Schizosaccharomyces pombe: one gene and its partner. The protein of the gene in region 1 binds, or shares a complex with, the protein of each later gene. Each region holds a gene or a part of one and is shown in the gene's direction. Other genes may lie near its edges.

Region 1 (4,392 bases):
ATCGTGTCACTTACACCATAAAGAAATAAAAATCATTAGGCAACTAGCACACCACACTGCAAAATATACCCATTCATCTTTGCCATAATCTTTAAAGAGAGCGTCCTTATACGTTAGATAACAAACTGCGGGTACGTTTAGCACAAAGATTGAAATGAATGATAAAAATGCTTTTTTCAACGGAGAGGTAGAAGAATTATCTGCCGTCCCGGAAGAATGGTTTTCTCTATGTGTAATAGAAAGACTGTCTTCACCATAATCCGGAGGAGTCGTAGACTCGTCCGTATTAAATAAGTTAGGGTTGTTAGCTCCCATTTGTTTGGGATCCTTTAAATTTATATTTTCTATATTGTTAGCAAAATTCAATGGTAACTTTAGAATATTTTTTAATGGGAAAGGAAAAAAGAGCGTGCCTGTTAGACGAATTTATACTCGTAATATGTCAAGTTGTAAACAAACAAACACAACAAAAACATTGTAAATCAAAACAAACAGACACAGCAAATAATCCTTGACACACTCAATTCTTTATCTTATCTACCAACAACACAACACTTACCTGAATATGGAGGCAATGTGCTCCCATCTTCTGAATTGTATTCTGGGAGAGGACCTTTTTCCAAATCAATTTCATTATCGTTTTTTGCACTCAATTCATCCATAGACGACCTCAAGGGATAATATTTATTCTTCATTTTCTAACGACAGTCTATTATTTAATGATATACACACAAATAGTTCAATTGTTGTGATTGCGACAAACGAAACAGCAAAATCAAGAATATTCACTCTGTAGTCCAATTCCAATCGCTTTAAAGACTTTTTAACAAAATAATAAAATTGTTCAAACAAATTTCCAACTAATTCCTTCAAACAATGGCATAAAAAAAGAAGAACGAAAAAACTGAACGAGGCAGTGGATTGCTTCTGACACATTAATTTTGTCACTGCCCTTTTTATTCACCCCAACTTAGATTTCCTTAAACGTTTTTGAGATCCTGAAATATTTTGTTACTGTATAATAGAATATGCCACTGTAAGTTAATACGCAAATGCGGGTTTACTGTGTCAGCAATACTACACGACGCTAAGATACACCACGTTGCGTATCACTATATGTCAGATGTTAAGATACTACTGAACATCCGCTATTGATACACAGATAAACTATCTGTTTATCTACATAGACAGTAACTATCAGAAAGATTATAAATAGAGCTACAACCGAACCTCGTTCCTCAGTTCAGTTATGAGCTATATCGGTGACCGATACTAACAAACTTCTTATAACAATAAATATCACATTGTTTAATTTATCATATTGCATACCGCAACATTGTAGGTCGCAACTAAAACTCACCGCAGTTCTATATATCGTTAAAACAGATATCAAACTGCGTAGCTAACAATACCAAACTGCGTGGCTGACATTTATATACACGTTAGGATGCGATGAGTCTTTTTAAGTCTCTATACTGTTTCATGTGAATGATATATTGTTAAAGGAGTACTGTTAAATGTCACATCTTATAAGCACAGTTTGTCAGCACATAATTAAACTGACTCGACTCCCTTTTTTTATTTGAAATAAATTTTTTTTAAACGATGATTTGAATATAAATTCCTTGAAGAAATGGTAAATAAGGGCATATGATGATGAATTGTACTCTTATAAACAGCCTATTGTAGTGCGGCTTAACCTCACATTGCATTGTAAGCGCTGCACCGTGTAGTTATGAATTACCGAAAATCATGGTACGTCGCTACTCAGCTGGTACTAGTACATAGAAACTACAGAGCACGAACACAGCAGTAGAAAGCGTATACGCTGCAATGTCTGAGAATGTCATATCGTCTAGCAAAAATGTAGTTTCCAAGCTGTTATATGTTAAAGACGAATATTGGCCCTCTGTTGCTCCTGCTGCTACGGAATTGATTTCAAAGTTAATAAATGCCTTCTGGTGTCAAACATTGAATGGTCAATTGGTAGAGGAAGATGAGGGAGAAAGAAATTGTATTTTTCTTTTTGACCGATGTCTCAAAACTGAAGGTTGTTTAAAGAAAATTGGTCCTGTTACTGTTATGCAGTTCCTTGCGTGCTTTCTCCTGTCTTCACAAAATCATGCATATGCTTGGTCGGTGTGCAGACAAATCCCTTCAGACGATATGGCATTCAAGTTTACAAAATGCTTTCAAAACTCTCAACAGTTTCGAGATGCCAACTTTTGTAAGCTCGTATTGGTTTGGACAGTTTGCCAGTGTGTCAGCTCGACAGTTTATTATCCCGCAATTTTGGATTTACTACCAGTGCTTTCGGATCTCGTTAAAGAGATGGAAAAAGATCCTGCTTCTTTGCAAGCTAAGGAAAACGAATTTTGGTTGAAAAAACTTATTCAAACTTCCCTCCACCATTCCTCCGATAACTCTCTAGTGTTTTATCTGGAAATGCTTTTAGACTCCTTAGATTTAAGGAATTGTATTTATGTAGTATTCGAAGACGAAGCCCTTTTTCGTCGCTTGAAAGACATTGGCAATCCGGAAATTCGCATGATGCTTGACTCAGGTCTTCGTGATTGGAGAAAACAGAGAAGCGGTCGATCTTCTTCCCACGTAGCATCAAAAGGAATTAACAAGGTTGTGAATATAAACCCCGGGGATGTTAAAAGCCTAATAGAATTATTTCCGCAGCTTTCGGTCGAAGAGGCCGTTGAACACTTATCAGCCTCGCTGGGGAATATAGATGCTGCCTGTGAATCTGTAATTACTTCCTCACTACCAGAAGAGCTTGACTCTTCAACACACTCGCCTATCTATACGAAACCTAACGTTGATTCGATGCACAAACAACCTAAAAAAGCTATAGCTCCTCTTTCTCTTAGCTCTTCAGTCACTGCAGTTATTTCAAATCGTACTAGCGATAAAAAGACAAGGAGTACAGTTGCGGAAGAGGATGATATTACTCATCTTAATATATCTCCGGATAGACTCTACCTAAATAAAAAACCCGAAGATTTAAATTTCTGGAAGAAATCTGTTCCCGAAACTGACAAGTCTCGAGTACTTAACCTTCTTGCTATGGCTGAAGACGATGAATACGATGATACTTATGATGATCTCGATACTACGGGCCCTGTGGATTCGGGTGTCGGTGATGATGATCCTGAAGCATCCTCTAAAGACGCCCACGATTTTCAGAAGTTTATTAATCAAACTTTGTATGATTTTTACCAACAAAATCCAGAGGTATTTGATCAAAAAGCCAGAAAATCAAAGGAACGCGCGGATTTGCTTGCCAAACTTGACAATTCACTTACCCACGAGCAAATAGAGGGTTGGAGAAGAATGTTTACCACTGACTCAAAGTTTGCTGAAGCTGTAAAAAAAGAGGTTACTTTTGGTTCTGGAAACACAAATATTGGTTCTTTAAGGCAAACAAAATTTAAGCAAAGTAATTACACTCCTCCGGAGTTAAACGATGGATCCAGGCAGCATCGCCCATCTCGCCCGTCTAAAAACCCTTCGTTAAAGAAGAAGAAGTATGTGCGAACCAAACCCAAAAAGGCTTCAAATGAGAAATGAATTTAAAATACTTATCCTTATAAACTTGATAATTGATTTTCTACTCTCTTTTACGTGTATTTTCTTGTACTATTTTCAAGAACTATTGAAGTTTTACCGCATTTCATAGCTTTACTTATTACGGTTTAATTTTGTATGATCAATTGTACGTGGTACCATATATCGCGAATAATGCTATTTATTTCTATTATCTAGTGCATTTTGAATAACATGGTTAATTGAATGCAAAGGCGATTTTAAGTAGTTGCAAACATACATTTTCACAAACGCGTTACGTGTGGTAGCCAGTATATAAGAACTTTACAGATTAAAGGGTTTGAATTGAAAAAATGATAAGAAACATAGATTAGTATTACCCACAGTAAGTTAAATAACTGCAGCTCGAAAACTATGCATGTGTATACGAAGCTACTTCTGTCAACACTATATACAAATAGTAGATCAACGCCTTAAATAAATCTATCCATCCCTTCAAAAGAAAAATCTTTGTTTGATACAGTAATACCAAAACAGCAGGATAAATAAAGTGAAGCATGACAAAGAAAAGGCAATGGTTTACATAGATCGTTGATAACATAGCGGCAAATGTGAATTTATTAGTTGACTTGCTTTTAATATTCAATTCCAAGTTGAGAATGAAACAACATACTGATATCTCATATATAGAACTGGGATGCACCTATAAACACAAGTAAAATGCACGAGTTCTTCCAAAGCCAGTAAAAGAAGAACAAGGCGAAGAAAGAAGGAGATAGAAAGAAAGTGATAAATCAGGAAGAGTGATTAAAATTACTTTAGCGAATTAGAAAAAAA
Region 2 (4,676 bases), on another chromosome or scaffold:
CTCCTAGTCAATGCTCTTCTTGTTTTGAACAATACTGCTGGAATGGAACAACCGTGAACAACCCTAGTGCCGTTTCAAACTATGCTCCTACTGTGTTATCTGCATCAACCACTTCTGGTACCTCTTCTGTACGAGCCAAACCTATAGTATTTTATTTATTTGCTTCGCTTCTAACAGTTTCGTTACTATTATAGACGACGAAAGCCTCCCCCACTCACACACCTTGGTATGAGTCACTTTTCGACTTGAAAGAATTAAAAAGCATAGACTGAGTCAGGCTTTTATTTATTAATTGTAAGGTATTAATCACTACCAAACTTGTGGGGTTCAAAGGTTTTGTAGTTTTAGTGTTAGTGTTAGTGAATTCATTTTAAGTTTTCGAAGCACAATGTTTCTTTTCTCTAATGAAGATGTTTAGTTTAGTTAATTTAGGAAGATCGCTTTTATTTTTAAATATACAGACAATTAATTTTAATAATGATTGTGCAATTTTATAGATATCAAAGCTGTTTTGAATTATAAACCGTCAAAAAAGTCAGTTCCTAAAGGCTTTTTCCCTTGATTTCCCACCTTTTTCTTTTTCTTAGGACTCGAGAATTCAGAGTCGCTGCTGGAATCTTCATCACTATCTAAATTATCAGAGGAGGATGACTCATCTCCTTCCTTCTGATCAACCGGCCAGAAAGCTAGTTCGGTTCCACTACAGGAAACTAAAAAATTGCCTTCGGTAGTAACATCCACAGCGTCTACGGTTGATCGCGAAGAGTGTTGCCCTATAATTCTTTCGTATTTGTTTGGAAGAATGTGTAACAAACGTATACATCCGTCGCTTCCGCCAACATACAGACTGTCAGAATCAGCACGAGTTATTGTTTCTATTGAAAAATCATGGGACCGAATTGGCGATAAAATGCGATCGGTATGATCCCCCCAATCACCCTTTGTAAATAAAGTTATAACTCCACTGGCAGTACCAACAGCAAATTTCTTTTTTGAATGCTGATCCCGTGTAAAAGCTCCACAGGTCATTTCTTCGTCTTGTTCTTCACTCAATATTGGTTTTTTGAAATTACGAGCATCGATTACTGACAAAACTCCATCACCACTAGTAGCAACGAAGTATCGTTCTTCAAATGGGCTAATAGAAGATATATAGTCAATATGATCATTATGGGTATGGATAATGCCTCCCTCGGTGCGCTTATCCCAAACAGAAACACAACCATTATCATCACCTGTAGCAAAGACCATATCATTCTCAATCCATTGAACCACACTATAAGGAGAAATCTCCTTATTCTTATCCACTATCCATTTTGAACTCACTCTCCCCGTTGAGGTATCGGCGATTTTTAAAACACCATCTGAACCTACAGAAATGAATTCGGTACCTGATTCATTTACTGAAATATTTCTGCAGCTTTTTTTATGTCTTTTGGTACTCCATTGCTCGACCAAACTTATTTGTGCGACATCATATTGATAGCTACTAACTCTGCCGTTTGAAAAACCCAGTAACACTTGATTTTCACCGAAACAAGCTAAGTCGAATATTTCATTTTCAAATTTTTGTTTTATAGCAGCATTTATTGTTCCACCCATTAGGTTGTTTAGGACAAGTAGGCTGTGATTAGAGCTGGGCAATCCACCTCTCAGCACCCATTGCCCTGTAGCAAATTTGCATACCCTAGAATCGCGAATACTATTACACTACCAACTTGATATTGTTTTGGAAAATTTACATAAAGCATATAAAATTTTATTTGTACGAACTTCTTGAACTCATTTAAATAATTCAATAGTATTTTTTACTTGGGGATTCTTTATTCAAAGACTTTATTCGAAATCGTTAAACTACGAATTCTTTTAGAAAGTTAGACATGGAAAAATGGACGAAGGAGAACGTACTGAAAATTTTGCCAGTCGACGATGAGAGTGCCGCAATGATAACAAGCACTGCTTTAGCAGTCGATTCTTCCGAAGCCGCAAAAGATTATTGGATTTCTTTACTGGGGGATTCTGCTGAGACTATAGAATTCATTAGTGACTTCAATCAAAAAAGATTTCACTCTACGCATTCTGGTAATTCTCCATCGATCATGAAAAACAAGAAGAATGTGACACCAAATAATAATATTCGGCAAAAAAATACTGCCACATCTTCTCATCCAAGTTTCTATATCGCTAACAATAAGCAAAAAGGATATGATGAAGAAATGTATAAAGTCAATCCTGCTTCGAGGAATAAATCACAATCAAACAATATTTCATCACATGAAAAATCTAGCAAAACTACGAAAAATGTCTCTCCAGGCGTAATGACTTCTGACCTTATTCCGGAAAAGAAAAGTGTAAAACATAATAACTCTTCTTCTAACAGAATTGAAGGTCTCGCCGACATCGAAAAAGCTATACGTCAAATAGAGATATCTCAAAATATAAATAAAGCAGAAAGAAGAGTCTGCAATTGTCAAGGACGTAAGCATCCGCTTAATGAGGCGGCTCCCAATTGTTTGAATTGTGGAAAAATAATTTGCATTGTTGAGGGGATTGGGCCTTGGTAAGTAATATTACTACTATATCTTATTAACAAGTTTTTACTAATCTTAATTAGCACCTTTTGTGATAATCCTGTCATTAGCAAAGCTCAACAGTTGGAATTAATTCAAGAGTTGAAGCATGAGGGAAGCCGCTTAAAGCAAGCTGCCAATCAAAAACGAAAAAGCAAAACCGTTTCTAGTAAAAATAATTTTCAAAGGTTGCAAAATTCCTCCTTGCATTCAATTTTTCTCGATCCTAAACAACTAGAGCAAAAAGCTCAGGAGGCTGAAGAAAGAAAAAATGTCTTATTAAATTTTGATAGAACCTCTGCTCAACGAACTCGTATTATCGACGAAGCTGCTGATTTTGATCCTACTTCGCTAGCTTCTGATACTTGGGCATCTCCAGCTGAGAAAGCTTTAAATCTTGTTAGAATGCAAAAGGCCATGGCTAAAAAGGAAAAGAAAAAAAAGAAGGTATTGTCGATTAGTCTTTCAGGAAAAAAAGTTGTAGTCGATCAAAAGGAAGCATCTTCTGAAAGTTCTGATGAAGATCAGGATGAACTTGACAATTTAACTAAAGTTGAGGGCCAATCTCATAGTCATAACCCGAAGGCTCCTGTTATTAGAAATTTGCCTAGGCCTATTTACCATCAAGACCTACACTCTAGTCATGTCGCCGTGCCTGAATCTATTCTTAATAAAATAAATCAGAAGTGGTCTAAAGTTCAGGATGATGATGGCATGCCATCGATGTTATAAGTATGTTTATGTTAAAGTTACAAATATTTAATGTATGCTTTTATGAGATTCAGTTTTTTTAAATATACATATATGCATTTTGGTAAAGTGCGTATCATTTTAATATTATTAACAAGATTACGTTAATTAGAATATGTCTTAACAATTTTAACAAAACTATCTGTCGATATTTTCAAAAATTTGATTTTAAATTAAGGAGAAGGAGGTACATATTTGGGTGAATCTCCTTCTTCATCATCCCAACCACCTGGTGTGGGAGCAGCCCACGCACCAGGTGTAGGAGCAGTATAGGGCTTTGAATTATCTTCGGTATCCCAGTTAGTTTCACTGAATCCCCCGTATGCAGGGGTTTGTCCCCATGAGGTGTTAGTGCCATTAGCAACCATAGGTGTCTGATTAGCATTCCAAGCTGGAGTCTTAGTACCATTGTTCCAGGACGGAGTTTTATTACCAGCATTCCATGCAGGCGTTTTAGCACCACTATTCCAAGCAGGGGTTTTGTTGCCAACATTCCATGCAGGAGTTTTATTTCCGGAATTCCAAGCAGGTGTTCTACTGCCAGCATTCCAAGCAGGAGTTTTATTCCCAGAGTTCCACGCTGGGGTGCGACTTCCAGAATTCCACGCAGGTGTCTTTGAACCAGAATTCCACGCAGGTGTGCGACTTCCAGTATTCCAAGCTGGAGTGCGTGAACCATTTGCAACAGCAGGCGTACGGGCTCCTTGGGCCCAGTTTGGTACATTTGGTCCATCAGCGGTGCTGATACTACCAGGTCTTATTCCTCTAGAACGCTCAATAAATTCGGTATAGCTAATCAATTCACCAGTCTTAGTAGTATATAGCAGGTTTTCTTTAGGAATTGTAACCATTTTGTTTCCCGTATGTAACTCAACACGTGCATTTGCATCAGTAGTATCCTTAATAACGCCAAGTAATCCTTTCATAGGACCTCTGCGGATGCGTACAGTAGCGCCAATAGCTTTGTCACGTCCAATCGTTCTTTTCAAGTTAGCAACCGGAGGCAAAGCCGGCCCATTGGATAAAGCTGGATTCATTTTCGTCAAATCTGCTGAAATACGGGCACCCTTTGCCGCAATTGTTGCTACGTTACGACTGCGAGCGGAAAATACACCATTATTCTCTGCGATATCTCTGTTATGCAAGAAAACAAAAGCTCTGTATATGTGCAAGATCGTTCCCTGCTTTCCCTCTCCTCCAACCTCTTTTACTTTGTCGCCAATCCGAATTTCAGCCCCATTTCTATCTGTAGCCACACCTCGGCGATTGGAATGGCGCATGGTAATTTGAGAAGCAAGAACCGTTCTAACCCCTCCATTCTGATCAATAACTTTGTACGTATCACGATCGACAGAA

What was found.
Region 2: rqt3 (region 1) and rqt4 share a complex: the UniProt entries of both Schizosaccharomyces pombe proteins name them as parts of the RQT (ribosome quality control trigger) complex.

The regions. Positions count from the first base shown.
Region 1 is NC_003421.2:2,014,020-2,018,411, reverse strand, and holds rqt3 (CUE domain-containing protein Cue3), read left to right. Parts: upstream 1-1,814; 5' UTR 1,815-1,833; coding exon 1,834-3,579; 3' UTR 3,580-3,828; downstream 3,829-4,392. Other genes in the region: wtf meiotic drive antidote Wtf19, read right to left, coding at 15-344, 560-695. UniProt on the Schizosaccharomyces pombe protein: Involved in activation of the ribosome quality control (RQC) pathway, a pathway that degrades nascent peptide chains during problematic translation.
Region 2 is NC_003424.3:1,065,657-1,070,332, reverse strand, and holds rqt4 (transcription coactivator Rqt4), read left to right. Parts: upstream 1-1,654; 5' UTR 1,655-1,880; coding exon 1,881-2,560; intron 2,561-2,614; coding exon 2,615-3,302; 3' UTR 3,303-3,493; downstream 3,494-4,676. Other genes in the region: lysophospholipase Plb3, read left to right, coding at 1-194; wdr55 (WD repeat-containing protein), read right to left, coding at 517-1,602; DSIF transcription elongation factor complex subunit Spt5, read right to left, coding at 3,494-4,676. UniProt on the Schizosaccharomyces pombe protein: Probably functions as part of the RQC trigger (RQT) complex that activates the ribosome quality control (RQC) pathway, a pathway that degrades nascent peptide chains during problematic translation.